Linked DNA regions of Arabidopsis thaliana. The protein of the gene in region 2 interacts with the protein of the main gene of each other region in a pairwise test. Each region holds a gene or a part of one and is shown on either strand. Other genes may lie near its edges. The genes, in order: ARFA1D, AT2G29180, PRK3 and SUB.

Region 1 (6,990 bases), on a different chromosome or scaffold from region 2:
AGGTGCTTTATTGGGCTGTGTTTCTTCGTTAGTAAAGCTTTTTGCTTTCCTTTAGTTTAGTGAAATCTTAAAAATGTTTAACTTTGCGGCTTTACTTCAATTGCCTTATACACTGTGCAGGTCAGAAATGGGCAATCCGGGATCAGACACAGAGAGAAACAAGGGAAATGTGGTCTCAAGTGTGTTTGATCCTGCACTCTCTCGATTCGTTGGATTTTCCCAGAAACTCCAAACTCGTCTTAAGGTCATGCTCTGATTCCACACATTGCTTTTCAATACCTTGTGATGTTTTTGATCTTTAGAGGAGCTGAAAAAGGAAGCATTTTGTTCTCTTTGTCACAGTCCCAGCTGAAGAATTTGACAGATGATAAGCATGGGATTGGTTCTTCATGGAGGCAAGATAAAGGAAACTCATCGATCTCCATGCAAATTGATCTGGAGAAACAGTTAGATTGTTGGAGGGAAAACCCTTCGTGGACTGATCAGATCCCAGTCGTTAAGGTGAGCAAGAGATGAACTTTACAACATGGTTTTGTCAGAGTCTTTGAGAATCTTGTTATATGATAAATAATAACAAGATTTCTTTACAGGTGGGTATTCCAAAAGGATCGCTTTGCAATCTTAAAGCCGAGGTGAATGTTGGTTTACCTCCTGATGCAGTCTATAACATTGTAATTGACCCTGACAATAGAAGAGTCTTCAAGAATATCAAGGTACGTTTCTTATAGATTATCTTGTTCTCTCTGTTACAGTTTTAAGCTCCTGTGATTCATTGGCCTCGGAATTACAGGAGGTTATGTCGCGGAAAGTATTGGTAGATGACGGGTTAAGGCAAGTGGTGGAAGTTGAACAAGCAGCTTTGTGGAGATTTCTCTGGTGGTCAGGAACAATCTCAGTTCATGTCTTGGTGGATCAGGATCGGGCAGATCACTCTGTAAGACCTCTACGATTATAACAAAAGTCTCAAGTTTCTTGAATGGTTCGTGAAAGGGGATTTAAATGGGTGTTGCAGATGAAATTCAAGCAAGTGAAAAGTGGATTCATGAAGAGATTCGAAGGAAGCTGGCAAGTAAAGCCTTTGTTTGTGGATGAACATATGTGCGATCGTTTGAAACCGAAAACGCTGGAGGAGTATAACAGGTGCACTGGAGGTAAAGGGAGGATCGGATCTAAGGTAACGCTGGACCAGCTAATACAGCCAGCGATTGTTCCACCTCCGCCCATTTCTTGGTATCTCAGAGGAATCACGGCTAAGACGACAGAGATGCTTATCCATGACTTGTTGGCTGAGACCGCCAGGATCCGTGCAGCTGGAGTAATGGAGGATGGTCACTCGCCCGATGAGCAACGGATTGGCACACCTGGAGATATAAAAGAAAGATGGTCTGCACATAGAAGAACATCAAGGAGACGACGCAATGATTTGTGTTAAGTCACAGACTCACACAGTCCATGATTCTGGGATAATAGATATCTTGAGGATTTTTGGATCACCCAGCAATATGTGAACATAATATAATATTTGTTTTCATAAGATACACTGGCATATAAATGTGGGAATCTATTCCTTGTTGAAGAAGTTTACAACCATGACTCAATGACTCATGACCATTACAACCATGACTCAATGACCAATAGTGATATGAATTTTCAAATATACAAAATTTCTAATTCATTTATTTTGGTAAAGAAAGAAAGATATTTCTGTGATGAAAACGATGCAGACGTGAAAATAGGATACGCAAAAACAAGAAAGCAAAACAATCAATCATATTAATCCAGGCACAATACACGAAAGCTATTTAAAAGGGTTCTTCTAGTAAATTTTTAGGTACAAGACCATCTACTTGCACAATAAGAAACATTCACATACCCAAAAAAGCAAAAAGGTTCAGATAATATTTATAATCTCTCTTGCATCAAGACAGAGAGAGATCCCAACACAGCAGACAGAATCATCTCGATGCAACGCAATTTCTCCCTCATCATGCCTGTGCAAGAAGAGCAACACGAGGTAAAGATATAAGCATCGCAGAATAAAAAGAAACCAGCTCGTTAGATTTGTGTGTTTTTGAAGAAACTTATGTAGTTATGTTACCTTGCCAGCGATGTTGTTGGAGAGCCAGTCCAGACCTTCATAAAGCCCTTCACCTGAAGTGGCACATGTGCTCTGGATATACCTGTAGCGAGCAAAAACACACATCAGTATCGAACAGAAATTGTTTGACTTTTGAAACTTATAAGGATGTTTATTTACCAATGACGCTGACGGAGGGAGTGAAGGCCAAGCTTATCTGTGATTTCAGCAGCGTTCATAGCATTTGGAAGATCTTGCTTGTTGGCAAACACAAGCAACACAGCATCACGCAGCTCGTCCTGCAATAAAAGAGTTGGTAAGTAAAGGATTTTCAAACTAACAAAACTATGAAGAAGAACTCTTTCTCTATAGCACTGGATATTTACCTCATTCAGCATCCTGTGGAGTTCATCTCGAGCCTCAACAACTCTGTCTCTGTCATTGCTATCAACAACAAAGATTAGACCTTGAGTGTTCTGGAAGTAGTGTCTCCACAAGGGACGGATCTGAAAAAGAAGCCAAAAAGTCAGTTTATTTGGGTGAAAAGTTCCTTCATCAAACAATAAGCAGTACAGAGACTCCATACCTTGTCCTGACCCCCGACATCCCACACGGTGAAACTAATGTTCTTGTATTCCACAGTTTCCACATTGAAACCTGTTGATAGAATTTAGCATATCACTAATCGATCCTAGATTTTATACCATCATCACAATTTAAAAACCAGTACTAAGGTGTGAAGCTTCTTTACCAATAGTAGGGATGGTGGTGACAATCTCTCCGAGCTTGAGCTTGTACAAGATTGTGGTCTTACCAGCAGCATCAAGACCAACCATCAGAATTCGCATCTCCTTCTTGGCAAAAAGCCTGCTAAACAGCTTGGCGAAACTCAACCCCATTTTGCTTCACTGCAAACAAACACAACAAAGTCTAATATCAAAAACCTCATACACATTCTATATCACGCGATTTTCATCTCAGAAATCCTAAATTATGCATCTATAATGCCAAATTCAATTCTTATATCCTCTAAGAACCTGATCAATACCAAAATCGTCACTCACAAACATCAAATTTCAACGAGATCAGGCCGATCCAAACAGAGAATCAAACGTCCCGAGATATCATAATCTCTCTGATACAGATCTTCAACATCTCAGAAGCTATCAGATACAATCACAACGACGGAAAACGAAAGTGAATAGAAAATTCAACAGATCCACACTATCAGATCGTAATCAGAAACGTCGACATATATACACATCTTAAAAATAAAATCGCATTATCCATTCATGAGCAAGATCAACCTCAACGAAATCAATCACGACGATTCCAAAACCATCAAAATTCACAAGAAACGAGAAATGCAGAACACATACAGATCTACGCTAAATTGAGAATGTATGAGCACAGATCTTAGATCAAAGCGTACCTACGAAGAATGTTTCGGAGAGATCTGAGAGAGAGAGACCGCGAAGAAACGGAGAGAGCGAGAGAGACTCGAAGAAATTTGAAAGAGAAATGTGAGAGAAGCTTAAGAGAAACGCGATGACGCCGAAATGGGAAGTGGTGGAGAGCAATTTTATAAGGGAGAGGGGTACCGGTTTATTCGTCGTTTCTCACGCCAATTAACGAAATTGCCATTTGTAATTGACGGAATTACCCTCTTCGAATCTTCTATGACCAAGTGTGCAGGTGTTCGCGAGCTAACCAATTAAAACTTAACACGTGAGCAATACTCTTTTCTTAAGTGCTACTTCATCTCCAGTGAAAATTTCGTTATTTGTTGATGTTGTCTGACCAATAAGAAATCGTCATTTCAATCAATTTTGATAAATTTTATAATTATTAAAATAATTTTAATATATATAATATGATTACATATCTACATCTATTAATGATATTTTTAATGAAATTTTGTTTGTCTGGTTTGGTTAACTTTGGGAAACGTTAGCCACAAAATCATTTAAAAGATTTATTTTCAAAATGATAAAATTAATCAATTGAGAGACAATTCCGGTTTAGTATTAGCTTAAAAATTTAAACATTTGGGTCTGGTTTTGCTGCCAACCCTTAACGATCATAACAAAACATAGAGAGATGAGCAAATGCTACAAACTACCAAATAAGCATTCATTTTTTATACAAAAATATTAATCTTTACCTTAATTATAATCAATTTATAAACACTACAATGCTTTTCAATCTCATTGTATATGCTTCATTAACAAGCTATATATATAAGGTCAGTTGCTAAAGATGAATTACAACTAAATATAACGTGCACATTCCTCACTACAACGACCGTCAAAATATGTGATCACCTTAAAGCTCATCATGAGCATTTTCAGTTTCTTTTTCGACCATAATAGTTTCTGCCAAATACTGATCAGTTTGGTTTAAGCTCTTGTCGTCATGCGAATACAGACAATCCGCAGAAGGATGAACTACACCATAACCAAACCCTTCAGCAGAGTTACAATATGCTTCTACTTTTCCATCATTGCCTTCCAAGTTGATATTGTTGAGGACAATGTGGCTGCAAGGGACTGCGTCACTACACTTGAAGTTGATGGCTTTTGAGCTTTTCGTGGTTCCGGTTATGTTCCTGTACATTATCTCGGATATGTGAACCGCCGATGTCTGCAAAGAAATAGGAATCAAAAGATTAAGTTTCTTTCTTGAGGTTTGTTGATAAGTCAATGGTTATGTGAAAGAATTAAAACCTGGTTTTGACAAGTTGATGGTGAATCACAGTAGAATTGATCGATTATAATCGGATTCGCAACGTCCTGCATCACTACGTTCTCGAAACGTACACCCTTTACGTAACCATTACCACCCTGTTTTAAAGAGTTTCATCTTTCAATCAATCCTGAAAACTCTTTGGAAGGAAAGCAAAGATCAATAGAATTGAGATTTTACCTGCCATGTCTTGATTCTTAGACCATTAGTTGTGTTCTTTAAGAACGCAGTTTCCAACACAACTGCAGTGACGGTTCCTTTCGAATGTCCTTGTCCAAGACTTCCAATACTACAGAACAAGAAATTATTTGCAATCAATAATAATATATGTGTCTCATTTCTTTTTATGGTTAGAGATGGTTTACCTGATTCCATGTCCTGGTCCACAGTAGATCCTCTTCATCTTTATCTTGGCGCTTCCATTCACAATCGAGACACAATCATCTCCTGTTTTCAAGTTGAAGTGTCAGCTATAACATTTTGAGTTTAATATTATAATTACCATGATAGTGTTTTGAGTTAAATAGAAGTTTTTGGTGAAGAACCTGTGCTGATTTTACTGTCTTGGACTACAACATCGGTAGATGCGGTTATATGAATTCCATCAGTGTTGGGACTGTCTCCTGGAGATGTGACCATAACTCTAGAGATTCGAACTGTAGTTGACCGTTGTATGATCAAGTGCATCTGTTGGCTGTTCCGGATAGTTAAGCCTCTCACATACACATTTGAACTTGAATATATAGTTAGAGCCTGTATAAAAGTAAAGACTTTCTTATAAGCAAAATCAAACATAAATGATAAGTCTAATGGTCGATGAACACAAAAGGGAAAAAACTTAGACCGTTGGTGCGCCTACGCAAGGCTACAAAAGAAAAACAAGAAAGATATGTGTCAGATTTCTACTTCATGATTGATTAGAAGAAAGTCCACTTTATGTAAAGAAGATACTTACGTTAGACTTGTTCTTCTTGCAAGAAGCAGCCCACCATTTGGTACCAGAACCATCTATAACTCCATTCCCTTGGAATACAACTCCTTGGAGTTTGGAAAATTGAAGCCAATTCCTTGGGAATTTCGGGTCCCATTGGCTAGGCTCATCTGGTGCTATGATTGTTCCATCAATCTATCAAAATCAAAATTAAAAAAAAATAAAAATGCATAAGACAATAAATGGTAACATGTTGTTGTAGCTTAACGTGTAACAGGAATTAAGAAGTTAAAAGATTACCTGAATGATCAATTTTTCTTGACATGGACCATCGAATTTCGTCGCATTTACTAAATAGCTACGTCCTTGTGGAACCAATAAAACAGAGTTTGGTGCAGAGCAGGCCATGGTCCAAGCTCTTATAAATGCCTGGTTATAAGAGAAACTTTTCACTAGTTGATAATTAAAATATATATATATGGTGGTTTTGTGTGTCTATTCCACCAGCATTATCATGAATTTCTTAAACCGATTCGAGCATAACGCACCTGAGTATCATCAGAAACTCCATCTCCAGATGCATTAAAGCTATCCACATTCACCAGATTCTTACCAGAATATTGGCTTGTAAACGACGAGAAATCAAAGAAGGTCACATCATCCTCAATATCATCCTCAGGTACATCGAGGTTCTCAAGCTTCCCAAGAATGTCAAGTTCCTTGAACAACATTTTTCCTGTAGCTCCATAAGAAGCTACCATCAACAGAGCAAACAGAGAAATAATAAAGGGTTTAATCATTTTATGCTTAAGAAAAAAAGAACTCCAAGCAAAGATTAAGTGATTGTATAGTTTAAGATATGAGATTTTATGCAAAAATGATTTCTTTGTAATGAGATGATAATATGGTTTGAATATATATATAAGCAGATCATTAAGGCGATTTTATTGGCTTGGCTTTAAAGTAGATGAAGACAAGCCCTTAATACAAATTCATCTAACCTTAAAGCACAAGGCTCCCACTTCTTTGCTTTACTCCAAAAACTCTACACATATTTTCCTGGTCAACATATTGATCCCATTAACTCTGAGAAAAGGACGCATAAAGCTAAACATGTGACATTTAAACATTTTTTTTAACTTGTGACATTTAAACATGGTGCCATATATAGTTTGGAAAACGAAAAATCAAACATATAGTTGTTGTCCCATGCATGTAAATATATATATATATATAT
Region 2 (5,736 bases):
ATATTTATAATAGACCCAAAGCAACCACAATACTGTAGAACTTTGAACTCTCAAAGTTGTTAAGGATCGGACAACACAGATTTTACTCTGTTTTGTCTTACTCTATATTTCACTCTGTTTTTATAAAACGAAAACCACACACTTTTATTACATATACAAACTGTATTTATAGGTTTACATGACACACTTTGACTAAGGGACACGTCTCTAGAAGACAACCTAATGTAGAGACACATACACACATGTAACTGTTTTGTAGTTAACAATTATATTTGTATCTCTTCGATGTGTGATACGAATATATATAAACCAGTTACTTCACTATATAATATATCTCTTCTAAAATAAGATGATGACTTGATCACTTCCAACACTCCTCCTTGATCATGGCTTCATCGTTACGTCTAGCTCTTCTCGTAGAACTTCGAACCTTGATGTGATAAAGAGTTCCGCCTCGGTCGTTGATTGAGCAACGTTCTTCTGTTTGCTAGAATTCCAACAAAATGCACCTGATCCAGAAGTAAAGACATAGCCACTTGTATTTTTCTTGTCCTCAACTGATCTGCTCCAATTGCTTGGTCTCTCCACAACTTGCCACGTCTTGTTCTTTTCTATCATCATCAACTCTTCTCTCATGTCTTCTATCCACTTCACGTCATTCATTGCTCCCTCCAAATTTTGATCTATTTGAGCGTTTAGATCATTCCCTCCTCCTTGTTCTTCTTTTTCTTTGAATGCCGCATACACTTCTTCTCTAGATTTTTTCCAACGAATTGGAAAACTTCTATCCATCATCTTGATGTCCAAGATCTTCTTTCCTTTTAAGTCTTGAATCACACACTTGTTGTCTTCAAAGATGACTCGATATCCGTTGGATATCATTTGAGAGACACTAAGCAAATTTCTTGCTAGTTCGGGTACATAAAGTACATCTTTGATGACATGATCTCCTTTGTTTGTGGATACTCTTATATCTCCTCTGCCTTCAGACACGACCTTTCGACCATTACCAATCCTTATGGTAATTTTCTTGTTGCGGTCCAAAGTGATGAAGTGTCTAACATCTTTAGACATGTGATTGGTACATCCGCTATCTACCAACCACGTTTCTTCTCCAATTGTTGAGATCTCTTTTTCTTCAACAGCACTAAAGAGAATATGACACTCATCTTCTTCTTCATCTTCTGATTCTTCACTACTTAGATGTGCTCTTTCACCTTTTTTAAGTTTCCAATCTCTGGCTATGTGTCCTGGCTTGTCGCACACATAGCATCTTCTTTCATAGCTTCCACCTCTTTGTGAAATGCTTTCACTCTTCTTTCTGAAACAGTCTACCTCATTGTGATTGTTCCTCTTACACACGCTGCACCACATGTTGGTCTTCCCATGGCGATTTTTGTTTGCTTGTTTTCTGCTCTTGAGCCAAGCTTTTCTCCATAAAACGCACCCTCATTGATACGTTCTTCTCGGAGACTCAAGCGCTTCTCATGCGCATTCAAAGTACCTATCATCTCTGTCATAGAGAAAGTTGATAGATCCTTTGTTTGTTCAAGGACCGCAACGATGCTATCAAACTGTTGCGGTAAGGAGATAAGAACCTTTTGAACCAATTGGTAATCGGTTTTCTCTTCACCATGAACTCTTAGTTGATTACTCATATTAATCAACTTGGTTGTGAAATCATTTATGTTTTCACTCTCCTCCATCTTCAGATTCTCATATTCTCTTCTCAAGGTCTGAAGATTAATCATCTTTACTTGTGAACTTCCTTGGAACTCCATCTATTCTCTTGCGCTTGATGCCGGAGCGATTCTCGGAAATATTGAATCAGAAACTGCACTTTGAAGAATCTGAAGAGCCATCATATCCTTCATCACTTGATCATCACGCTCTCTAGTTAACGCCGGTGAGTTTTCAGACGACGAACTCAACGTAATTCCATTTTCGATAACATCCCACAACTTCCTTGTTTTCAAGATGGTTATCATCTTGATTTTCCAAAAGCCATACGATTCACCATTGAAGATTGGAATAACTTGCTGCATTGTTGTCTCCATAGCTCTGATACCATGTAGAACTTTGAACTCTCAAAGTTGTTAAGGATCGGACAACACAGATTTTACTCTGTTTTGTCTTACTCTATATTTCACTCTGTTTTTATAAAACGAAAACCACACACTTTTATTACATATACAAACTGTATTTATAGGTTTACATGACACACTTTGACTAAGGGACACGTCTCTAGAAGACAACCTAATGTAGAGACACATACACACATGTAACTGTTTTGTAGTTAACAATTATATTTGTATCTCTTCGATGTGTGATACGAATATATATAAACCAGTTACTTCACTATATAATATATCTCTTCTAAAATAAGATGATGACTTGATCACTTCCAACAAATACACAACAAAAAAATCACTTGATCTTGCTCAAAACCTTATGCATTATGCTCTTATACATAAACTTACAAGGATGTTGAGTTTTCCTTGGAAGATAGAGGCAACGTTTTCCATGAGTTTCTCTCGTTGGTCACGAGAAGAAACGTCGCATACAGAAGTGGTGACCTCAAACCCTTTAGCTTGCCATTCACGTACGCATTCTTGAAGCTGAGTTTCGTTTCTAGCACATGTGTGGACTCTTGCTCCTAACATGGCTAGTTCCTCCACCACAGCTTCCCTATTCATAACACAGTTGTATACATATTGACACGTGCAAATATGTAATATGACATATTAATGTATTCAATATTGGATTAGTAGGGGGACTGACCCGAGGCCTTTGGAGCCACCGGTAACGAGAGCGGTCATGCCTCCAAGGCTCCATCTACATTTGTCTCTCAAGTTTTCTTCTGCTTTAGCCATTTCTGGATACTATTTTCTTCAATGAAGGTCACATATTTAAGGCCAAGAGGTGGAAGACTAGTCGTGAGGGTGGCCAAAGATACTTTTACGTGAATTGTTTAACTTTGTCCTTTGAAACCCCTGTCTGAATGTCTTAGCCACCTCTGATTATGAGCCACAGACCCAAAGATATTTTCTTGGAGATCTGAATTTATGGTTGAGAAAAATTCATAATGAATGAATGAATGATAATAATGAGTAATGACGTTCGTACACAGTAAGGCCTTTTGATGTTTTTCTTAGGTTACTCAAAATAATGGGCCTCGATTAAGGGTTAAGCCCCAACTACATGGGATCGACTCATGTTTCATTGTTTGAGAAAAACTAAAGACCCCATGTAACATGGGTTGAGCTCTGTTCTGCTCTAGCCATTGTTGTGTAATGATGTATTTTGATGAGAAATGATAATGAAAAATGGCTATTTATGATGAATTAATGATACGAGGCTATGAGATTGTTTGAAGAAATTGAGGAAAGCTAACGTATCTCTTGACGTTGTGACTGTTGTGGTGGGTAGAAAAATTAGAGATCAAAGTAAACAATCTTAAGACTGTAGTTTAGTGATGATGGCGTAACTAATGATGCATAATCAAAAACTAATAGAAATATAAGGCCCACGAAAATAATATATTGGGCTTTTCTTGGCCCATCAATAATCTGTTCTCAATCTCAAGAAAACATGAACCGTTGGATGTAACCAAACAGAAGTGGGTTATGTCCAGAATCTGAAGAGATCAGAGAGTGTGGGAGTGGACGGAAAGATGTCTGCGACAACAACACCATCTCTATCTCTTTCAAATTTCAGACCAAGATTCCAAACTCCAGTTAAAGGCCACCATATATCTCCACTCTCTTGGTCTGTTTCAAGAAGAAAGATCTTGTCTTTTAGGGTTCTTCGTCTTCACCAAGAAAAAACCCAACTATGGAGAGTCTCTGCAACTCCGGAAGAAATTTCCCAAGAGATCGTTTCTTCTGATTCATCTTCTTCTTCTGGAGCAGTTGTGTCTAGTGGTGGACAAGATGGTGTTGCTTTGATTATACAAGTGCTTCTCTTTGTTGCATTTCTTGCTCTCACGGTTCTCACCATTGGTGTAAGTGTTATCCACAAAACCAATCTTATCCATAAACTATGTCAAATCAAAATACAGAACCAAACCTGAAGCCCGGTTTGTGAGTCTCTAAACCGGTTTTATTTCATTACAGGTTGTGTACATTGGAGTGACTGAGTTTCTTGGGAAGAGGGAGAGAGAGAAGTTTGAGAAAGACGAGGCAGCAAAGAAGTCTAAGAAAGGTGGGAAGAAGAAGGCAATGAGAGCCAGAGCTGGACCAAGAGGTTTTGGTCAGAAGATTGAAGATGATGACATCGACATTGATCTTGAGTGATTTTGTGTGTAGTAGAGAGACAAAGATTGATTTTGTTTGTAATGTTGCTCAGTGATTGTCACATCTATGATATGTTTCTTGTGTACCAAGCAACTTGATGGTCGATATAACAAAAATATTGCAATATTACAGAAACGAAAGAGTTACTAGTGAAATAGGAAACAAGAGTTTGATGAAACAAATTACATAGATGGAGAAAAAACTCTAAACACTAGGATTGTCCTAAAAGCATGAACATATTCTCACTTCTACACATTTGGCAATGAAAAAGCCATTCTCTTTCGTGTAAAGGAAACCCTAAAATCCTCACCATACCTCAGCCCACCTTTACACCATTCTCTGCATATTTCCTCTCTTACTCATCAGCCTAAAGTGGGATGTTTGGTTCTATGTATAGAAAAACCGTAAGCAACTACACAATTTTACAGATTTGCAGAGAAAACAAAGCTCTCCTTCACAATTTTCCCGCAGATTATTTCCGGTTTAGATTTTACCTAATTCTCAAAACGCTATGGCAGAGCCATCCACCCTAGTTAAGCTGTACAACACTTGCGGCCTTACGCCATCTGAGGCTGGGTTAGGGACTGCAAAGCCATCCTCCTCTCTGTATATGAGAAAAAACCCACTTAGAGACATTGACACGCAATATATTGTCTTTCTTTCTCCAATCCTTATAGAAGTCTCTTCAATCAAGTAAGATGATACAAATAAAACGAAGTGAAGACAATTTGAAAGGTTTATAGCAGGTAAAGGTCGAAACTTTGGAGCCAAAGAACATATTAAACATACCTCCAGCAGCAACGAGTTTTTCAACACGAGCAACGATATGCTTTCCATAAGTGTATTTCTTTAAAGCATTGAGATGCACTTTAATACGACCAAGGATCAGCTCACGCTGTTGGTCATCACATGTCTCTAAAACTTTTTGCACTACATAGTTGGCAAACTGATCCTTCATCATCGCCTAAATACAAAAGATGAAGAAGCTTATGAGCTAATAGTTTCTTTATTTTCTCCAACAATCATCTGAAAGTATGTGTTTGACAAACCTGAAGAGGCTCGTTTTCATCAGTTGTGCCCAGCATCTCATTTACCAGAAATTCCCGTTCCTCTGGCCCTCCAAAAGTCAAACATTTCTCAACAACGTTTGAAGCAAACTTCTGTTGGCTCATCTGAACAATCTTCCCCGCTAATTCCTTGATAATCACAGTACGCTCATCAGGCTTTCCGTGTTCCAATACATGCTGTCAACAAAACGTGTATTAGTTTTTAAGCAACCTATACAAAATAACCAGTTGTAGTATAACTCTTTTTTAACAAACCTGAATAACATAGTTTCCATACTGATCTTGGGCCAGCATACTAATAGTTGACATGATTTCATCCATAACCTTACTCTGAGTATCAGGGTCATGGCAGTGCTCCAATACCCTCTGCAACA
Region 3 (7,718 bases), on a different chromosome or scaffold from region 2:
GTGCCAAAACAGTTAGGTTCAGGTCATTCATTTGGGCACATTCAGGAGGTATATCATCTGGAAGTCCATCCTTTGTGGGTAATAATTTGGGAGGGCAAAATTCACCCGGTTTTTGGGATTTCATTTATCCACAGTGGGGAACACCACCCAATGCTCCACACTGGGGAACACCACTAATTGCTCCACAATGGCGGCAAATATTTGGAAAATTTCAGCAAGGTGGTTCAAGTGGAACGTCTCTGACAAATGTTCAATATAGATTTTAAGTTGGAAGTCAAGGAGATGGTGCAACAATGGAAACTCCACCGATCATACAACAAACATCATCATCCGGTGTCGGTTTCACAAATTATTTTGAAACTGGACAAATACCACAAACACCTAGACCAGGAGGTCTCTTTAATATTTATGGAACTCCGCAAGGATCCAATGCAAATCATCACAGTAATGTAGGAGATGAAGAATAGTTTATATTTATTGTGGTGTATCAATCTCACTTATATTTTGAAATGATTTATGTTTTTATTAAGTTTAATGTTGAATTTTATTTAATTTATGTTTGCAAAATAATTTATGTCTAATGACATATATCGTTTGTATTGAATTTCAGGCATTTCGTATATGTCAGTTGCGATCACAAGACCTTAATAATCTAGTTTACGAAGAAAGAATTGAGTTGTGGAATTTGGAAAACGAACAATTTGAAAAGTTAGTAGTTCAACCAGCTTTGAATTATTATGAACGGTATTTTCAAAAAGTCCAGTCCAAACTGATAGATGTTTGGGATGGAGAAATATATGGCGTCGACTACAGCAAGATGATGCTGCTTGACTTCAGTTATTACTGATGTCACTTCCATGTTTCACAACATTGTGTAATATGTTGCAAACAAATTATGGTCTTCAGCCAACATTGAATATAAGTATTGAAGAAAGAGTTGCGATGTTTCTACGAATATGTGGACACAATCAAGTTCAGAGAGACGATGGTTTAAGATTTGGACGAAATAAAGAGATTGTGCAGAGAAAGTTTAGAGAAGTTCTTACGGCAACTGAATTATTAGCATGTGAATATATTAGAACTCCGAAAAGACAAGAATTTTATCGAGTTCCGAAGATATTGGCTATATTTTAGTGGGTTCGTTGGAGCTAATGATGGGACTCATGTATGCTTAAAAGTAAAGTTTGAGTTATAGAGAATGTATTGGAATCGACCCGATAATGCATCATTGAACATCATGGCAATATGTCATTTGAATATGTTATTCACATATATTTGGAATGGAGCACCAGGTTCATGCCACTATACAGCTATTCTGCAAATAGCACAACAAAGTGATTCCGGTTCCCTTTGCCTCTTTCAGAGAAATATTACCTGGTTGATTCTGGCTACCCAAATAAATAAGGATTTTTAGCTCTTTATAGATCGTCACGAAATCGAGTTGTGAGATATCATATGTCTCAATTCTATTATGGTCCTCCTTCTAGAAACAAACATGAACTGTATTGTACTTTTTATGATGAAATTAGTCAACGCATTTAACAATATGTATGTTACAAAATTAAATTTATATTTTGATCAATTTTTGTATTAGTGGTTTATAAATATCTGTTATTGTTTATTTATTAACAAAAAAATAATTAATTATTAATATATACATATATATTATTCTATACCGCTTATTTTGTACATATATAGTTTTTTCACCAATCAAATATTATTCTATACCGCTTATTTTGTACAAATCGCACTTGTCCCGCAAATATATTTCTCTCGCACGTACCGCAGTTGAACCTTACCCACTATAATAACGCTTTCCCCGCACAACAAAAACCACGGTTACCATTCGAACCCTAAATTCATTCAACATCCTTTTTTGCTTTTTTAACACATCACATCATCTTCTCTTTCTTCCATATCATCATTTAACATCTACTTAATTTTTCAATACTACAATAGTTTTGTTTAATAAAATTTAACATTTTATCTTACATTATTATTTTCCAATTTTTTATTTTCTTAAATATATTTAAATTTTTGTGATTGCATATTAATAATATTTTTTGATAAATTAAGTTTGAATATCAACTAAATTAAATTAAATTAACAAAAAGTTGACATAGTTATTATAAGATAATAAAAAAATTATGATAGAAATTGTGTTTTTTATGTGTCTGAATCAAATGAACCAAGTTTTCTTTTATAGAGTTAAAAAGTTATGAATTTTCATATAAATGATTTGTTACATAATAATTGATTTTAGATACATAAGGTGAGATAAAAATTTCAATTGCCAATAACAATATAACAAGTGTCATGTCAATAATTTTTTTTTTAAGAAAAAATAATAGAAAACATGCGCGAATGTGTGAAACACACCTTCCCATAAAGTGATGAACCGTGGCATGCGTGGCCCAAAAAAAAACATGTTGGATAGATTCAACATCCAAAAATCCACATTGGTTTTTTTCAGTTTTCAACACCTTTATTTGAATAAATTAACAGTTAAAACTTTTTTCAACATGTTCAATGGAGTTGAAATTTCAACAGGTTCAGTGCAAGTAGTGTAAGTATAAATGTATAAAGATTTAACATAAATCTGCTTGATAAATAGAGCCTCTAGAATGGTGAGAAAACGATAAGACTCGTTAACAAAATGTTGACAAAATTAGTAAGAGAACTAGTTTTCAAGAACAAGGCTATACGATCAGAGGGTTTTACATATTCATGGACACATCACTTGCATCAATGTATATGATGTGACTAAAGATCATGAGTCTAGGGAAGATTCTAATGAGTTTAAGATCGAGAGCTTTTTAGCATTTTCATGAAATTCAGGGCAAAGGAAGAGAGAAAAGAGCAAACACTAAGTTCCTTTCTTCTAGCGACGCAAGGAAATCATGTTCTGGATTAAATCTCAGTAACACCTTAGTAGGAACCAAAATTAAAGTGGTGGTGCATTGAGCGGATTGTTATACTTGTTTTCTGATTTTATTTTTGATGACATTTTTTGTATATAAGAACCATAATTTATTACTGAAAAACTAGCTTGAACATGTTACATGTATATGTTGATCATTCCATATACTAATGTCTAGTTAGTTTTTCTCTTTAAAACAAAAACGTGTAGTTAATAACTTGATATTGAAATTCAATATGATCGTAATGTCTACTTCATGTTCTTTTTCGAGAAAGGAAATAGTAATCAAATTAAACTAAACATCAAAAATTTAAGCAAAGAAAAAGAATAAATACATCCATGGTTTTTAGAGATCACTCATATGATTATGTGATATCTACGATTTGTATGTAAAAATGTTAATAATAATAAAAGAAACTATATGCAAACTGTTACTTGACGCACAAAAGAAACCCGACAAATGTGGTGAAAACAAGGTCAAAACCTTTAAAAAACCATGGTCGTAAGAAATCCTCCAAGAAAGTCTCTGAGCTCTCAATTCTTTTCAATTGAAAAAGACAATCTTTAATTTAGGAAAATCATAAAAATCTATTTTTAGTAAGTGGAAGCCTAAACTTTACCAGCTAATTCCCTCAAAGACAAGAAAACATTTCTCACTTTCCTTGCGGATCCTCAAAAACAATGTCCAAACTTTTGAACCATAAACAAAATCCAAACAAAAAAACATTCCTAGACAAAGAGACAACGCCATACATCAATATTTTTAACATTATCTTGGTTATTAGATTGTTAGGAGAGACCAAAACAACAACAAGAACAACAAGAACAGCAGTTCCTCTACTTCTCCTTAACCCATGACTGCTGTTCTATTTCTCTGCTTCCTTCTCATCTGTTTTTCCTTCACCCCTTCTCTACAAAACGTTAGTGAATCGGAACCGCTCGTGCGGTTCAAGCGCTCGGTGAATATAACTAAAGGAGACTTGAATTCATGGAGAACAGGAACCGATCCTTGCAATGGCAAATGGTTTGGGATCTATTGCCAAAAGGGTCAAACAGTTTCGGGCATTCACGTCACCCGGCTTGGTCTCTCCGGGACCATCAACATTGAGGATTTAAAAGATCTCCCAAATCTAAGAACGATCAGGCTTGACAACAATCTTCTCTCAGGTCCTCTCCCTCCTTTTTTCAAGCTACCTGGCTTGAAATCTCTTTTGCTCTCAAACAATAGCTTTTCTGGTGAGATTGCTGATGATTTCTTCAAAGAAACGCCACAACTCAAGCGGGTTTTTCTTGATAACAACCGGTTATCCGGAAAAATCCCCGCTTCTTTGATGCAACTCGCAGGTCTTGAGGAGCTTCACATGCAAGGAAACCAGTTCACTGGTGAGATACCTCCTCTTACAGATGGCAACAAGGTTTTGAAATCCCTTGACCTCTCCAACAATGATCTAGAGGGAGAGATCCCAATAACCATTTCCGACAGGAAGAATCTAGAGATGAAATTCGAAGGGAATCAGAGGCTTTGCGGGTCACCTCTGAATATAGAATGCGATGAGAAACCTTCATCTACAGGGTCAGGGAATGAGAAGAATAACACTGCAAAAGCTATCTTTATGGTCATCTTGTTTCTATTGATATTCTTGTTTGTGGTAGCTATTATTACAAGATGGAAGAAGAAGAGGCAACCCGAGTTCCGGATGCTCGGTAAAGACCACCTAAGCGACCAAGAGAGCGTGGAAGTTCGTGTACCGGACTCAATAAAGAAGCCTATCGACTCGAGCAAGAAGCGTAGTAACGCAGAAGGTTCCTCAAAGAAAGGTTCATCGCATAACGGAAAAGGTGCAGGAGGTGGTCCAGGAAGCGGAATGGGAGACATTATAATGGTAAACAGCGAGAAAGGCTCCTTTGGTTTACCTGATCTCATGAAGGCTGCAGCTGAGGTGCTAGGCAATGGTAGCCTTGGATCGGCCTACAAGGCGGTGATGGCCAACGGATTATCCGTGGTTGTGAAAAGGATTAGGGATATGAACAAACTTGCACGTGAAGCATTCGATACTGAGATGCAACGGTTCGGAAAACTCCGACACCCTAACGTTCTTACCCCTTTAGCTTATCACTATCGTCGAGAAGAGAAGCTTGTTGTCTCTGAATACATGCCTAAAAGCAGTCTACTCTACGTTTTGCACGGTACTACAACGCTTTTGCTTTTCTTGATTGATGTAGAAGCATATTTTACGATCTTTTTTAATATATATATATATATTTTTAATTTGCAGGAGATCGTGGGGTTTATCATTCGGAGCTAACTTGGGCAACAAGATTGAAGATCATACAAGGAGTGGCACGAGGAATGGACTTCTTGCATGAGGAGTTTGCGTCCTACGATCTTCCACATGGAAATCTCAAATCTAGCAACGTTCTACTAAGTGAAACCTATGAGCCATTGATTAGCGATTACGCGTTCCTCCCGCTTCTTCAGCCTAACAACGCCTCACAAGCTTTATTCGCGTTCAAATCCCCCGAGTTTGTACAAAACCAGCAGGTTTCACCAAAATCAGACGTCTATTGCCTTGGAATAATCGTTCTCGAGGTCATGACGGGGAAGTTCCCGTCTCAGTACCTAAATACTGGTAAAGGAGGGACGGATATAGTCGAATGGGTGCAATCTTCAATCGCACAACATAAAGAAGAAGAGCTTATAGATCCCGAGATTGCGAGTAATACTGATTCGATAAAACAAATGGTTGAATTGTTGCGGATCGGGGCTGCTTGTATCGCAAGTAACCCTAACGAGAGACAAAACATGAAGGAGATTGTTAGAAGGATAGAACGAGTAACACTTTGAGGAGATTTGAAAATGTAAACGCATGGAAAACGTTAGAGAGAAAGAAGCTTTTGGAATCTGTAGATTAAAAACAAACAAATGAGGAAAATGGTACGTTGCGTAAATAGGAATGACACATTCTTTTCCTCTGGCTAATTAAACTGAAACAAACGAGAAGGTATTGTTTGGTAACGAAAAAGTCCTTTTCTTTTTTGTGTTCATTAGGAAGAGGTGAGGAGCAAACCATTTTTTTGTTGTTGTTTCATAGATTTTTTTTGTTGATATTTTCCATTTTTCTTTGTCAAAAGACGTTATGTAAAATCATATTAGTAGTTTTATTTTCTTAAAGGAACTTCTGATGTATATAAGTCCATGTTTTTGTGTTATATAAGATGGATTTTTACGCAAAAGAACCATGAAAACTCCAATTTTGTTATAAACAGAGAAAGAAATAGAAGAAATGAGTGTGTTATTCCATTGAGATAAAGGGTTCTTTATATAGGAGTACAAGGAAAGGGTAAAACCCTAGAAACATCTAGATGATGGGCTTAGATGATGGGCCTTATAATGGGCATCCATCTTTATTCATAACACTCCCCCTGATGACCATTATAGTATCATAACTCGTAAAGTATTTGAAATGCTGCCTCATTAAAAACCTTACCAGGAAAACCCAATGGGAAAAACCATGGTTAAGGGAAAAAGAGTGCAACATACAATTACTCCCCCTTATGAGTATATTCGTCAGATCTTTGAGACGGCGTAATCCGATACGATAGACTAACTTCTTGAAAGTAGCAGTAGGTAGCGCTTTGGTGAATAAGTCAGCCAGATTATCATTCGAACGGATCTGTAGAACTCGTACATCGCCGCTCTTTTGTAGATCGTGTGTGTAGAAGAATTTTGGTAGGATGTGCTTTGTTCTATCGCCTTTGATGTATCCGTCTTTGAGTTGTGCGATGCATGCTGCATTGTCTTCGTACATAATTGTTGGAGTCTTTTTTTCCCTGCATATATACCACAGTCTTCTTGTATATGGTGAACTATGGATCTTAGCCATACACACTTGCGGCTAGCTTCATGAATTGGTAAAATCTCTGCATGATTAGAAGATGTGGCAGAGAATAAACAGTATTTGAGAATAAGTCTTCCAAATCTTCTCTTGAACAAATTTCTGGATAAAGTACAACGCCATTCTTCTGCTCATGAATCTTTTAGATGATTCATCTTGACCATCTTATTTATTTCTCTAAATATCATTAGTGTATAATATTCATTTGGATGATTGATAGAATTTCTTAATATTCATCAAGTGTATTATTTGCGTGTTCTTTAATGTCTCGTTAAAAACCTTGTCATAGAAAAATCATGTGGGATAAAAACTATGATAAGGAAAAAGGGTACATCCACGCATATCATTCAATCTCCCCCTCGGAAACATCTTCTTCAGGAGATGATTTTCAATCAAATACAATATCTCGTTGGAATTAATAACCATAATCTTAATGATCCAAATTATATGGTTTTCATATAGACTTATAAATATCATTATCTTGTGATATTTTATCATACATTATTGTCATCGTATTACTTATGATAACTCTGTAGGAGTTTTAATGATTTTCAAAACAAATATTAGTTTGATCAATATATTTTGACAAACTCAACATAAATATACATTTATATGATTATATGCCATGTTACATATTTCTTTTTATTCGATCGAGTAGAGTTTTAGAGAACATAATTCTCATATAATTAATCCTTCAGAGATTATATCTTTCAAGAATTTCATATAAATGTCATATCCAGTGTTCCGTCTCTTATTGCCAGATTTTAGATACTTAAAAAAAATTATTACATCCACCACAAGAGAATATATCTCTTCATAATACATTTCTTATCTTTGTGAAAATCTCATTAATTTCACTATTCTTTCACATAAAGAGTCATTTATTTTCCACTGGTTTTACA
Region 4 (9,796 bases), on a different chromosome or scaffold from region 2:
TTTTTATTATTCTTCTTATCTTTCTTCTCTTTCTCTTTCTTTGTGTTGATGATGCAATCACCACTCGATTCTCTGCCTCCTCCATCAATAATAGTATTGCCTCTATCTCTCTCTGCTGAGCAAATATTTATATCTCAAAGGGATAAAAGGAACAAAATCAAGCATTTAAGGGGGTGTATTCAATCTTATATTTTGAGTGATTTGAGGTAAATTGAGTTTTTCTATGTTTTTATGATTTTGGGTGGATTTAAGGAAACCATTCAAAACCACAATGCCACCTAAAGCCATAAGATTTAAAAATCTCTTACAATCATTAAAAATCTAATCCTTAAGTTTTCAAGGACATGAAAATTTTGAGTAGATTTTCAAGCTTTCAATAACACTAGATTTTATTAGATTTTATTAGACCTTTTAAAATTTATAATTAAATAATATTAGATTTGCTATTTTAACACCCCCATAATTCTCTAGATCCCTCATTTAATTCTCGTTTATATTTTTCCATCAGTAAGAATTTACATTTTCTATAGCCATTTGAGCAATTATGGCAAGTAGTGATCATCCTATATGCAAAAAAATTAGATGGCCCAATTTCAAAAAGACATCAGTGAAAGGAGTTTCCGAAGAGAGCAAGCAATGAAGCAGAGATAGAACCTGGATTCAAAAATTTCATAAATAGATCGGAGAGTGCGAAAACGTAATGGCATAAATAGATCAGAGATTCCACAATTTGATGATGATGAAGAAGCATAGCTCTTGTGGTATGACACGTTGGCATGACATGCCAAAGCTACCCGCGCAAGATGGAGGTGAAGCAGGGACTCACTCTGTTTGCTAGGAAGCAGGACATGAAGGTTCTTGACGCTGAAAGCGGACACGACTTTTTGTGGATCTACTTTTCATTTTCCTTGCTATCCCTTTGGAGTCTGTATGGGAAATCACTGGAAGCAATATCGACCTAGTATGCATTGGCAACTTTTGTAGAAGCTTGAAGGACTTGAGCTCTAGGGGAGGCACAGATGCATCTACTAACACATGTATGCTTCCTTGGCAATATAGTTTGCAGAAACCGTTGCTTGGGGTCAGTTATTTAAACAGTGACGGTAGTTCTCAGTCGACACCTCATGGTAGCAATGGGTTAGTTAAGAGAGGGGCAACATACATTGTCTCAGATGATCTTACTATTTGCGTAAAGAAGAAGTTTGATGTGAACTTGGACGATATTTTTGAGCATGAAATCAACATTGGCAAAACACATGTATATCTATATTACTATTCTTTCCTGATATTTTTTTTTGAATCTGACACTAATCCAGGCCATAGGTTTACTAAGAGCCTCATTCGTGACATCCACTGCCTTGACTACGGCTTTCGGGAGCTTTCTTTCAGAGAAACGACTCTAAAGCATCAATCACATGCCCTCTGTGGAGCAGATTGATTTGAAGTTTAGGTTTTGTTGTCTACAGTGCTAGTTGAACAAGTTACCTTCTCTTTTACACTACTGTTAAGTACAACCTTTTGTTCTTGAATTTTAATGTCTTTTGATTCAAAAAATGTTTATCCTTTTCAGAAAATAGAATCTAAATACATGATCAGGTTGGTGAATAATGTTTGAGCCGGTAATGGGATTGGGGTTACATAATGATGATCCCATAGCTCATTTCATACAGCCAACAACATACATAAAGTGTTATTATAATACAAAAGAAATACTTTCATTCATCAAAGGACAAAGAACAAGAATCTGACAATAAACTATTGCTTCTGCGTCTTAGTCCAAGGTTGTGTATCTTAGATCATATGTTGAAGATCTTGGACTATTTCTGATATCGGCGGTCTAAATCCTGGTTCCATCTACAGACAAAGATAAGCATGCACAGAAGTCAAAAGGGTTAGTTAATATTCTGATGTCACGTGTTTGACATTGCTTTCTCATCTAGTTAAGTGATGAATGAAGTTAAGTTTACCTGCAGTGAACGTGATATGATATCTGCAAAACGTGACAATGATTTCATTGGATACGCTCCGTGTAATGACGGATCAACCATTCTTGTCAACGCATCGATGTCATGAAGCCGAGGAATCGCCCACTGAGCTAGTGTTTGATGTCCCCTCGGCCTTGTCCTGCAAAAAAAAACAGGGTTTTGTCTTGAGATAGTGTAGTACAGTGATTTTGCATAAGAAACATAAGTGAACATGTTGACTTTTGAGTTCAGACTCTTTTATGGCTTCTATTAGTTGTCTCTTTAGAGTAGCTAACCTGTCAAATGGTCTGCGTCCAGTGAGCAGTTCTAACATTACAACCCCAAGGCTAAATACGTCGCTCTGACAAGTGTAGCTTCCATACTCAACCTCAGGAGCGGCATAACCCGCCATCTACAATTTTATAAGCAAACATCATATCCTTTACAACACTCACTCTTATGTTTGGGATCTTCAAAATAAGATGACAAATTTACCTGACTCGTTGGGCGTGGTGGTAACATATAAGCCAAACCGCTGTCTGCAACACGTACTGAGAGCTTTCCATCAAGAAGAACCTTGGAAGACTTGAAATTCTGGTGAACAACCGGCGGTTGACATACCTCATGAAGAAACCTGAAACCAAACTCTAAGATCCTATATGTTCCAAATATAGATTGGCGTAACATGTTGAGGTTCTTTAACTTACTGCAATGCCTTTGAAGCTCCTAATGCAATATTTATACGTACATTCCAAGTGAGCTTCTTGTGCAACTTGCGATCCAAATGTAGTGCATCTTGAAGTGATCCATTAGGACAGTACTCATACACAAGTAACCTTTGACCAAACTCGTTACAGTAACCAAGAAGCTCCAATATATGACCGCGTTTAAGCTTCAACACATTGGAGACTAGATTGAGGAATTCGCCGTCACTCTGTGTTCTGTTGATGGTATTGCTCAGCTTCTTCACCGCAAGAAACTATAGATCACAACGTGTCAAGACGTAAATAAGAATGCACAGCATAAAATACTGTAAGACCAAATGACAAATAAGAGGAAAGTGTCACACCTTTCCATGACGAAGCTCAGCTCTGTAGACATTACCAATCGACCCTTCCCCGATTATATTCTCTTCTGAGAAATTATTTGTGTATTGCTGAAGTGAAGCAATGGTGAAAACAGTAGCAGAAGATGAGGAATTCAAGCCCGGGGGGAAATGAGCCGCTCTCTTTGAAGCAGTATCATTGGACTGGAACTGCCTCGGTGGTTGTTGCAGCGGCTTTTGAGGTGTATTAACATCCTTATTATAATATGAAGTAGGAGGCATTGCTCTCCGGCTCTCTTCAGCCCGCTGTGGCATTGGATACCCATATTTCCTGTCTCCAGCTCCATATCCATCGAAAGGCTTAACCATAGGCTCCCGAGAAACTGCAACAAAAGAAAACACCACAGCAGTTTGCCGTTAGGTAATGAGCCAAAGCACAAGTTTCTTTTCTTTTCTTGGAAGGAAAAGAATCAGTGTACCTTTTCCCATAGTGGGGGTTGGTTGAGATGGAGGCTTATTGAAGTATGGTCGTTGTAAATCTTTACGAGCTCCACTGTAATATCGGTTATATATTTTACTTCTGCAACATCTCCAAAGTGTAACACACAAACCGGATACAAGAACAATTATGGCCACTGAAGAAACTACTAGAATGATTCTTTGAGTGGACCAGAATTTTCCTGATCCTGAACCTGAAGGAGGTGATATTTGCAAGGTAGGTTGCCCTGACACAGAGTTCCAGGGATCTCCTCCTCCATTATCAGAAGAAGGTGGTGACCAGACCAGAGGTGGTGATGGTGGTGGATGTTGTTGTGGTTGCAGTGGAGCAAAAGGAGCAAAAGGTGCTGGGGGAACACCAGAAACAGGAGGGATACGGGGAACAGGAGGAGCACGGTGAGTAGCGGGAGGAGGATCAACCACAGGCGGAGGCGGTGGTGTTATAATCGATGTATTGAACGGAGTTCCATCTTTTCTGCGGTTATAATGACAATGTAACATGAATGGCTAAAGAAAAGGAAAAAAAAAACATTCAAGTTTTCTTTTAGTAATACTTACTTGAAGTTTGGAATTTTCAATAGATTTGGCGGTATAGGTCCCGAGAATAAGTTGTTTTCTACATTCCTGAATCAAAAATATGAAAAGCCATAGTGAGATACTGAAGTTGGCTTAATGGTTGGAGAGTCAAGAACAAAGAGTATGCAAGGTGAAAAACGATTACAAATCGGTTAAGAAAAGATCCTCTATAACATCAAGTGTTCCTGTGAGCTTGTTGTCCTGCAAATACCTACAGTCCGACCACATCACATATAAAAGCAATGATAACAATGTTTGTATACGGTTTCATATATGTGCACTTACAATATCTTAAGAGAAGCTAAGTCTCCCATGGAAGAAGGTAAATGCCCCTCCAGTATGTTAGACGATAAGTCCCTGCATTAGAAACTTAATGTATAAATGAAAGACGCTGATGGGAGGATACAAAATGAGACTTAGTGAGGAGGAAATATACAGTTTTGTCAGTTTTGATAGCTGCTGAAAGTAATCTGGTATCTCTCCTGATAGAAGATTGCTTCCCAATGACCTGAAGGGAAAAGAAAGAGTCTGCTTCAAACAGAGGAAAAACCGCAGATGCAAGAAACGGTATCTACATTAATAAAGACTTACAGTTCAGACAAATCGGATAGAAAGGACAATGTAAAGGGAATGTTCCCAGTGAAGCGATTGCTTGAGAGAGATCTGAAACAAGAAAATGAAACCAAACATGAAGTGTCTTTTAACTGTTGGAAACATAAGTATTGCCATACACATAGTCAATTCTCAAACGCACAGGTTTCGGATGGAAGAAGGCAAAGCCTGCGGAATTGTCCCTGAAATATGATTGCTACTGAAGTCCCTGTCCACTCAAACAAAGAAGAGAGAAAAAGTATCACAAAGCAATTCAAGATTATAACCAAACCTTATAGTCAATGGTAACAACATCTTGCATGTTCTTCACATAGCAAGAAGCCTCATACAAAAGATGAAGATGAAAGAAAACAAGACAAGAAGCTTTGCTTACATGACTTGGATAGATGAAAAATCAGCCAGAGTATCACTTAAGCCTCCACCTACCTTCATGCCAGGTATCCTTCTGCAGCCAACAACAATAATTCACGTGGTTAGAACCTGAATTGGTGACTCAAAGCAAACCATAACAAAGAGTTACAAGAGCAGAAGAGGAAGTATACATTTCTGTGATGTTTGAGGAGTCACACACCACACCTTGCCACTTTTCTCCACAAGGGTCTCCTCCAAAAGCAAGCCAATGATGTAGAGATGGTGCTCCCAAAGTGATATACAAGTTATTAATCGCCGAAACTGCAGAAGTTATTAAACAACAGACAAACACATCAAAAAGTAAAATTTCTAGAGATTAAAGAATCTTTCTTATGATAACCATTTAATGAAGAACAATAAGAACAAATTTCTTGGTCTTGAACTAAAACCCTAACAAGAGCTTATGTGTCAAAAACCTAAACTTTTTAGGGTTTTTGAGGTAGCCTCAAAATCATAGAACTTTGCCAATCTGGAGCTTCCCAAACAGCTATATTGCTTACCTAGTTTACCCTAAAACTGATGTAAGTCATTTTCACTAGACACAAGTCTAAAAAAAATCTAGAGTGTTCACTAAACCAAAAGAAGGAGAGTCAAAGCAAAATCCAAATAAAAAAAACTTTGCAGAGAAAGATTATTACCATCTCGTAGATTAGTAACTCCAGCTGAGAAAGGCATTGTCAAGGCTAAAACAGAGAGACCAAAGAACACTTCCCATCTTGTAAAGCTCATAACTTCAGCCACTGAAGATGAGAAAACCCTTGAACTTGGATTAGATTGTTTCTTTCCAATAAAAAACGAAGATTCAGAGGGAATGTTATGGAAAAAAAACACGAGGAAGAAGAAGAAGAAGAAGAAGAAGAAGGGTGAAACAGGGATATTCCTGATTAAAAGGTAAAGTGAATCATAATTTCGTCGGATTTTTAGGAGAGAGAGAAAGAAGAAAAGAGATGAAGAGTGAGTGAGAGAGAAAGAGTGTAGTGTGTTTTGTCTCGAAGAACGAGCGGCTTACAAAAGCCAACGGCTTTGTTTTTCTCAGTTTTAAGCCTTTAAGGTTTCGTCTCCAAAGTGTGAAACAGAGAAAACTTGCCAAGACTTGTCTCTCTTTATGTCTTTTAATTGTCGCTTCTATGCTTCATCTAATTACTATAGTTTCCTTTCATGTAATAATTGGATTTTTCTAATGCCATAAGGTAGAGAGATAGAAGTGAATATTATTTTGATGTAGATTACATATTCCGTTACTTCACCTATTAAAATCCAAATAATGTAACAGGCAGAGTTTATCACACTTATTTCAGTGAGATGGGCCAAGAAAACAGTTGAAGTAAGAAAAGCTCTGAGAATTCTTTAATGGAAGAAGAGAGTGAGAGACCCTACAACAAGGTCAAAAAAAATATCATCATATTCATCCCACGTCCATTTTTGCTCTTTTGGTGATAAAAATGTGTGAATTAGTTTTAGTAACAAACTAATAGCAACAAACTATTTGAGAAAACTAGTACTTTTACATGGTTTGGAAATTGATTTCAATTATACATCTTAGTGAATCCTAATATATGTTTTTAAACAATTAGAGCCAATAAAGGGTTTTTTCTTACGACTTTAAATTGAATATACTTAGTAATTATACAATAATTATCTTTTCAATATATTCTAAAAATAACTAACTAATGTTATATGTATGATTGCACGGTGCATTTTGGTTACCATTCGAAACCTTTGTTTTTCTATTAATAATTAAGAATTCTGGTTTTGTGTTTACAGTTACAACTAACAATCACTATTTATCAATTTCTTTGGAATATATTCTTAATTTGTATTATTCTTTGTTTGTTGGTTGATGTGATGGAGGATTTGTGTACAATTCAATAGTAGTAATTTAATGGAATGCCATCATTGCATAATTTGAGATGAGAGTAACTTCGATATTCATATGTGATTACTTCTCAAGTTCCTTTTTTGGTAGGAGTTACTTCTGAAGTTCTGATATTCACATAAATTATTTGCAACCCGAATAATAACAGCAAACATACATTGTATGATCAATAAAGAATAAAACATGCTTGGTGAGCTTATGTGTTGATATTAGATTTTTATTTTGTCGAGATCAATTAATTATCAATCGATTTTTTTGGCTTGTCAAAATCAATCAAGTTCACACCATACACGATAATAAGTTGCGACTAGTTAAAAAAAAAAAACCACATTCTTATGGGCTATTCAAACCAAATGTGGCCCAAACTTGGTCAATAGTGTAATGGTAAAGCCCACTTGAAAGAAGATACCTCTCGTAGGCCTAATAATGCAATGAGATTGCAACGGTTACTTTCAATCTTTGAAGAAAAGTAGAAAACTATCGTACATGATGCTTTTTTGCACCCAAAAAAAATCGTACATGATAACATTTTTTTTTTTCAAAACCAATATGCCAAGTGCCAACCATAATAAACCGAACCAAAATCAAATAAATAATACCGAATCAAATTTTTGTTTCGACCGAACTCGACCCAAAACTACACCAATCAGGTTGGATTCATTTTGATTCTTGTACTTCAAAAAATCAGAAACCCCATATAATAATGATTGTAGCACTTATACATGCATACCAAATTAGTTATGAGATTGGAAGATGCATGATAATGAATTCAAACTATTGGTCTCTTAAAAAAGAGTGTCGAGGAAAAAATACAGATATTGTAAAGTTAGGCTTTATTTTATAATATGGTCTCTCATTACGCAAAAGGCGAAACAAAATTAAAGAATGCAACACTACTTTATGGTCACCCGTTAGCCAGAGGATCCAAGGCACATAACGAATGTTTTATTTATTTAAATCAAATCTAGTTACGTATCTACACGAATTTTGGTTCAAGTTTTGGTTTTACATCACCCTAGCTTTTTCCGCCCTACCATTTTACATCAAGAAGCTTCAAAGAAAAAGTTCTATAGATTATGAAAAGTCAAAAAAAGAACTTAAAAGAATTTGTTAGACGATACTTGGATACAATTTGCTGTTATGCACTTGATCGTTTTGAAAATATTAAATTGATCAGAACTATTGAATTGTCTCGTTCCATTTTCATTTTCCAATATACACAAGTATGATACACTCAAACTTTCTAAATTAGTTTGAAGTATGATACAGAACTATTGAAGCCTGTTTTTTTTTCTCTCGGCGGAAATTATTCAACATTCATCCAATAAATTAGTTAACGTGTGATGTGGGGTGCAAAAGGACAAACAAGAAAGCGTTAAGAAAAGCATAATCTTTACAATGCTCTCTCCAAAAGATGAGCCTATAAAAGTAAAAAGAATAATAATAAAATTGCTATCAAAAAAAAAGAAAAAACGTTTGAATGATTTACTAATAGACAAACCACAAAATCGAATTTTTGTACTTTTTAAACAACACCTAAATACTTTTACTTCCATACCTATGGTAACCAAAAAGGAAGGATCCCAGTTTTGTTTTACACGATTGAATATAAACTAAGATAGTTAAGTAAGGCTGTAGAACAAATAAACTATTTTATACACAAACTAGAACCTACTAATGGTTCATGTAAAACTAAATAACTATTTTGTTTTTACACTATGAATCAAGTCTTAAACCAATTATAAATGAACTACATTTTGATGTAAAAAAAAAAAAAGAACTACATTTTGATTGAAATAAAGAAGAGTATTGGTTTATTAATATAGGAAAAAACTAAACCAATACACTTATGTTAACTAAGTATTTTCTTTGATTTTATAAGTCACACAGCATATTCAAATCGTGGATTAGTTCTAGACGATAATACAATAAATAAATTACTAATAAGTTTAGCCTATTTGAGTATAAAAGATGAAGACTCAAATATTCATGATACATTATTTGAAATTTGTTGGTTCGGACGATCATAGTGAATTGAATTTAGTGTATGATGGTAACTTTCTTTTTGGGGTCAAAGTTACGTGACTTTGCTTGCGTCTGATTTTGACTGTCAGAAAATATATAATAATTGGTGTCACGGAAGCAAATCTTTTGCCACCCTACTCACACATCATACAATTTAATTTCTCATTTTTTATAATCAAAAACAGAAAAACATTTTAGTATTTTTCAAAATCCACAACCAAACAGATTCTGAACTGGCGAAGCATGTGAAAACTGATTAAGATCAAATAACTTCGAAATTGTAAATTCCGGCGATAATTCGGTAATAAGATACATTATCTCATAGGAAGATGAAACACTCTAATGAAACAAGAGGGTTCTCAAACGAGTCGTTAGGGGCAGAATTGTAATTTCCAATAGAACCCGGCCACTTGTGATGATTACACTCTTGATCCGACCCGTTCATATTCGGATTGAGTCTGACCCGACCCGGAGACTGGCTTTGTCTCCTCATTGCTCCACAACTGTCTGTACTCTGTTGACTCCGAGTTGGGCCCATCATGACGGACCTGTTCATCGCCGGCGATCTAGACCTTCTCTCGGATCTTTCAGTCGAGTCTCTCGTACCCGTAGCCGACGGAACCAGCCTCACCGAGCCAGCTTCTTCTTCGTTGTTTCTCTTACGTGGAGACATATCGGTTCTCCGGTTTGGATAACTAACCATGACCCGGTTCCGAGATTTCGCCGGAGATCTCTGTCTCACTACATGAGATTTCATCTGCTTCACTTCTTCCTCGTCGTACTTATTCA

The links.
Region 1: the proteins of AT2G29180 (region 2) and ARFA1D interact in a protein complementation assay, tested with the Arabidopsis thaliana proteins (one large-scale study listed by BioGRID).
Region 3: the proteins of AT2G29180 (region 2) and PRK3 interact in a protein complementation assay, tested with the Arabidopsis thaliana proteins (one large-scale study listed by BioGRID).
Region 4: the proteins of AT2G29180 (region 2) and SUB interact in a protein complementation assay, tested with the Arabidopsis thaliana proteins (one large-scale study listed by BioGRID).

The regions. Positions count from the first base shown.
Region 1 is NC_003070.9:26,562,177-26,569,166, forward strand, and holds ARFA1D (Ras-related small GTP-binding family protein), read right to left. Parts: upstream 3,636-6,990; 5' UTR 3,510-3,635; exon of another isoform or gene 2,986-3,509; 5' UTR 2,977-2,985; coding exon 2,829-2,976; intron 2,735-2,828; coding exon 2,664-2,734; intron 2,584-2,663; coding exon 2,464-2,583; intron 2,377-2,463; coding exon 2,258-2,376; intron 2,181-2,257; coding exon 2,099-2,180; intron 1,992-2,098; coding exon 1,986-1,991; 3' UTR 1,542-1,985; downstream 1-1,541. Other genes in the region: AT1G70480 (OBP32pep, putative (DUF220)), read left to right, coding at 74-244, 343-501, 591-713, 791-934, 1,013-1,432; AT1G70500 (Pectin lyase-like superfamily protein), read right to left, coding at 4,403-4,720, 4,804-4,920, 5,003-5,111, 5,188-5,269, 5,368-5,575, 5,667-5,687, 5,778-5,948, 6,054-6,182 and 1 more. UniProt on the Arabidopsis thaliana protein: GTP-binding protein involved in protein trafficking; may modulate vesicle budding and uncoating within the Golgi apparatus.
Region 2 is NC_003071.7:12,539,408-12,545,143, forward strand, and holds AT2G29180 (uncharacterized protein), read left to right. Parts: upstream 1-3,525; 5' UTR 3,526-3,673; coding exon 3,674-4,003; intron 4,004-4,115; coding exon 4,116-4,295; 3' UTR 4,296-4,428; downstream 4,429-5,736. Other genes in the region: AT2G29170 (NAD(P)-binding Rossmann-fold superfamily protein), read right to left, coding at 2,457-2,688, 2,782-2,873; PUM2 (pumilio 2), read right to left, coding at 4,853-4,899, 5,085-5,259, 5,345-5,539, 5,618-5,728.
Region 3 is NC_003074.8:14,950,813-14,958,530, forward strand, and holds PRK3 (Leucine-rich repeat protein kinase family protein), read left to right. Parts: upstream 1-3,550; 5' UTR 3,551-3,774; coding exon 3,775-5,107; intron 5,108-5,196; coding exon 5,197-5,765; 3' UTR 5,766-6,219; downstream 6,220-7,718. Other genes in the region: AT3G42870 (heat shock protein), read left to right, coding at 1-48, 135-219, 268-467. UniProt on the Arabidopsis thaliana protein: Receptor-like kinase involved in the control of pollen germination and pollen tube polar growth. Can phosphorylate ROPGEF1 in vitro.
Region 4 is NC_003070.9:3,719,174-3,728,969, reverse strand, and holds SUB (Leucine-rich repeat protein kinase family protein), read right to left. Parts: upstream 6,263-9,796; 5' UTR 5,836-6,262; coding exon 5,745-5,835; intron 5,402-5,744; exon of another isoform or gene 5,368-5,401; coding exon 5,238-5,367; intron 5,141-5,237; coding exon 5,069-5,140; intron 4,904-5,068; coding exon 4,838-4,903; intron 4,747-4,837; coding exon 4,675-4,746; intron 4,592-4,674; coding exon 4,520-4,591; intron 4,441-4,519; coding exon 4,369-4,440; intron 4,295-4,368; coding exon 4,229-4,294; intron 4,132-4,228; coding exon 4,066-4,131; intron 3,983-4,065; coding exon 3,489-3,982; intron 3,393-3,488; coding exon 3,034-3,392; intron 2,944-3,033; coding exon 2,672-2,943; intron 2,599-2,671; coding exon 2,460-2,598; intron 2,377-2,459; coding exon 2,261-2,376; intron 2,125-2,260; coding exon 1,968-2,124; intron 1,855-1,967; coding exon 1,792-1,854; 3' UTR 1,520-1,791; downstream 1-1,519. Other genes in the region: AT1G11145 (hypothetical protein (DUF674)), read left to right, coding at 804-854, 926-1,258, 1,334-1,438; AT1G11125 (uncharacterized protein), read right to left, coding at 9,327-9,796. UniProt on the Arabidopsis thaliana protein: Regulates the expression of transcription factors that define the cell fates.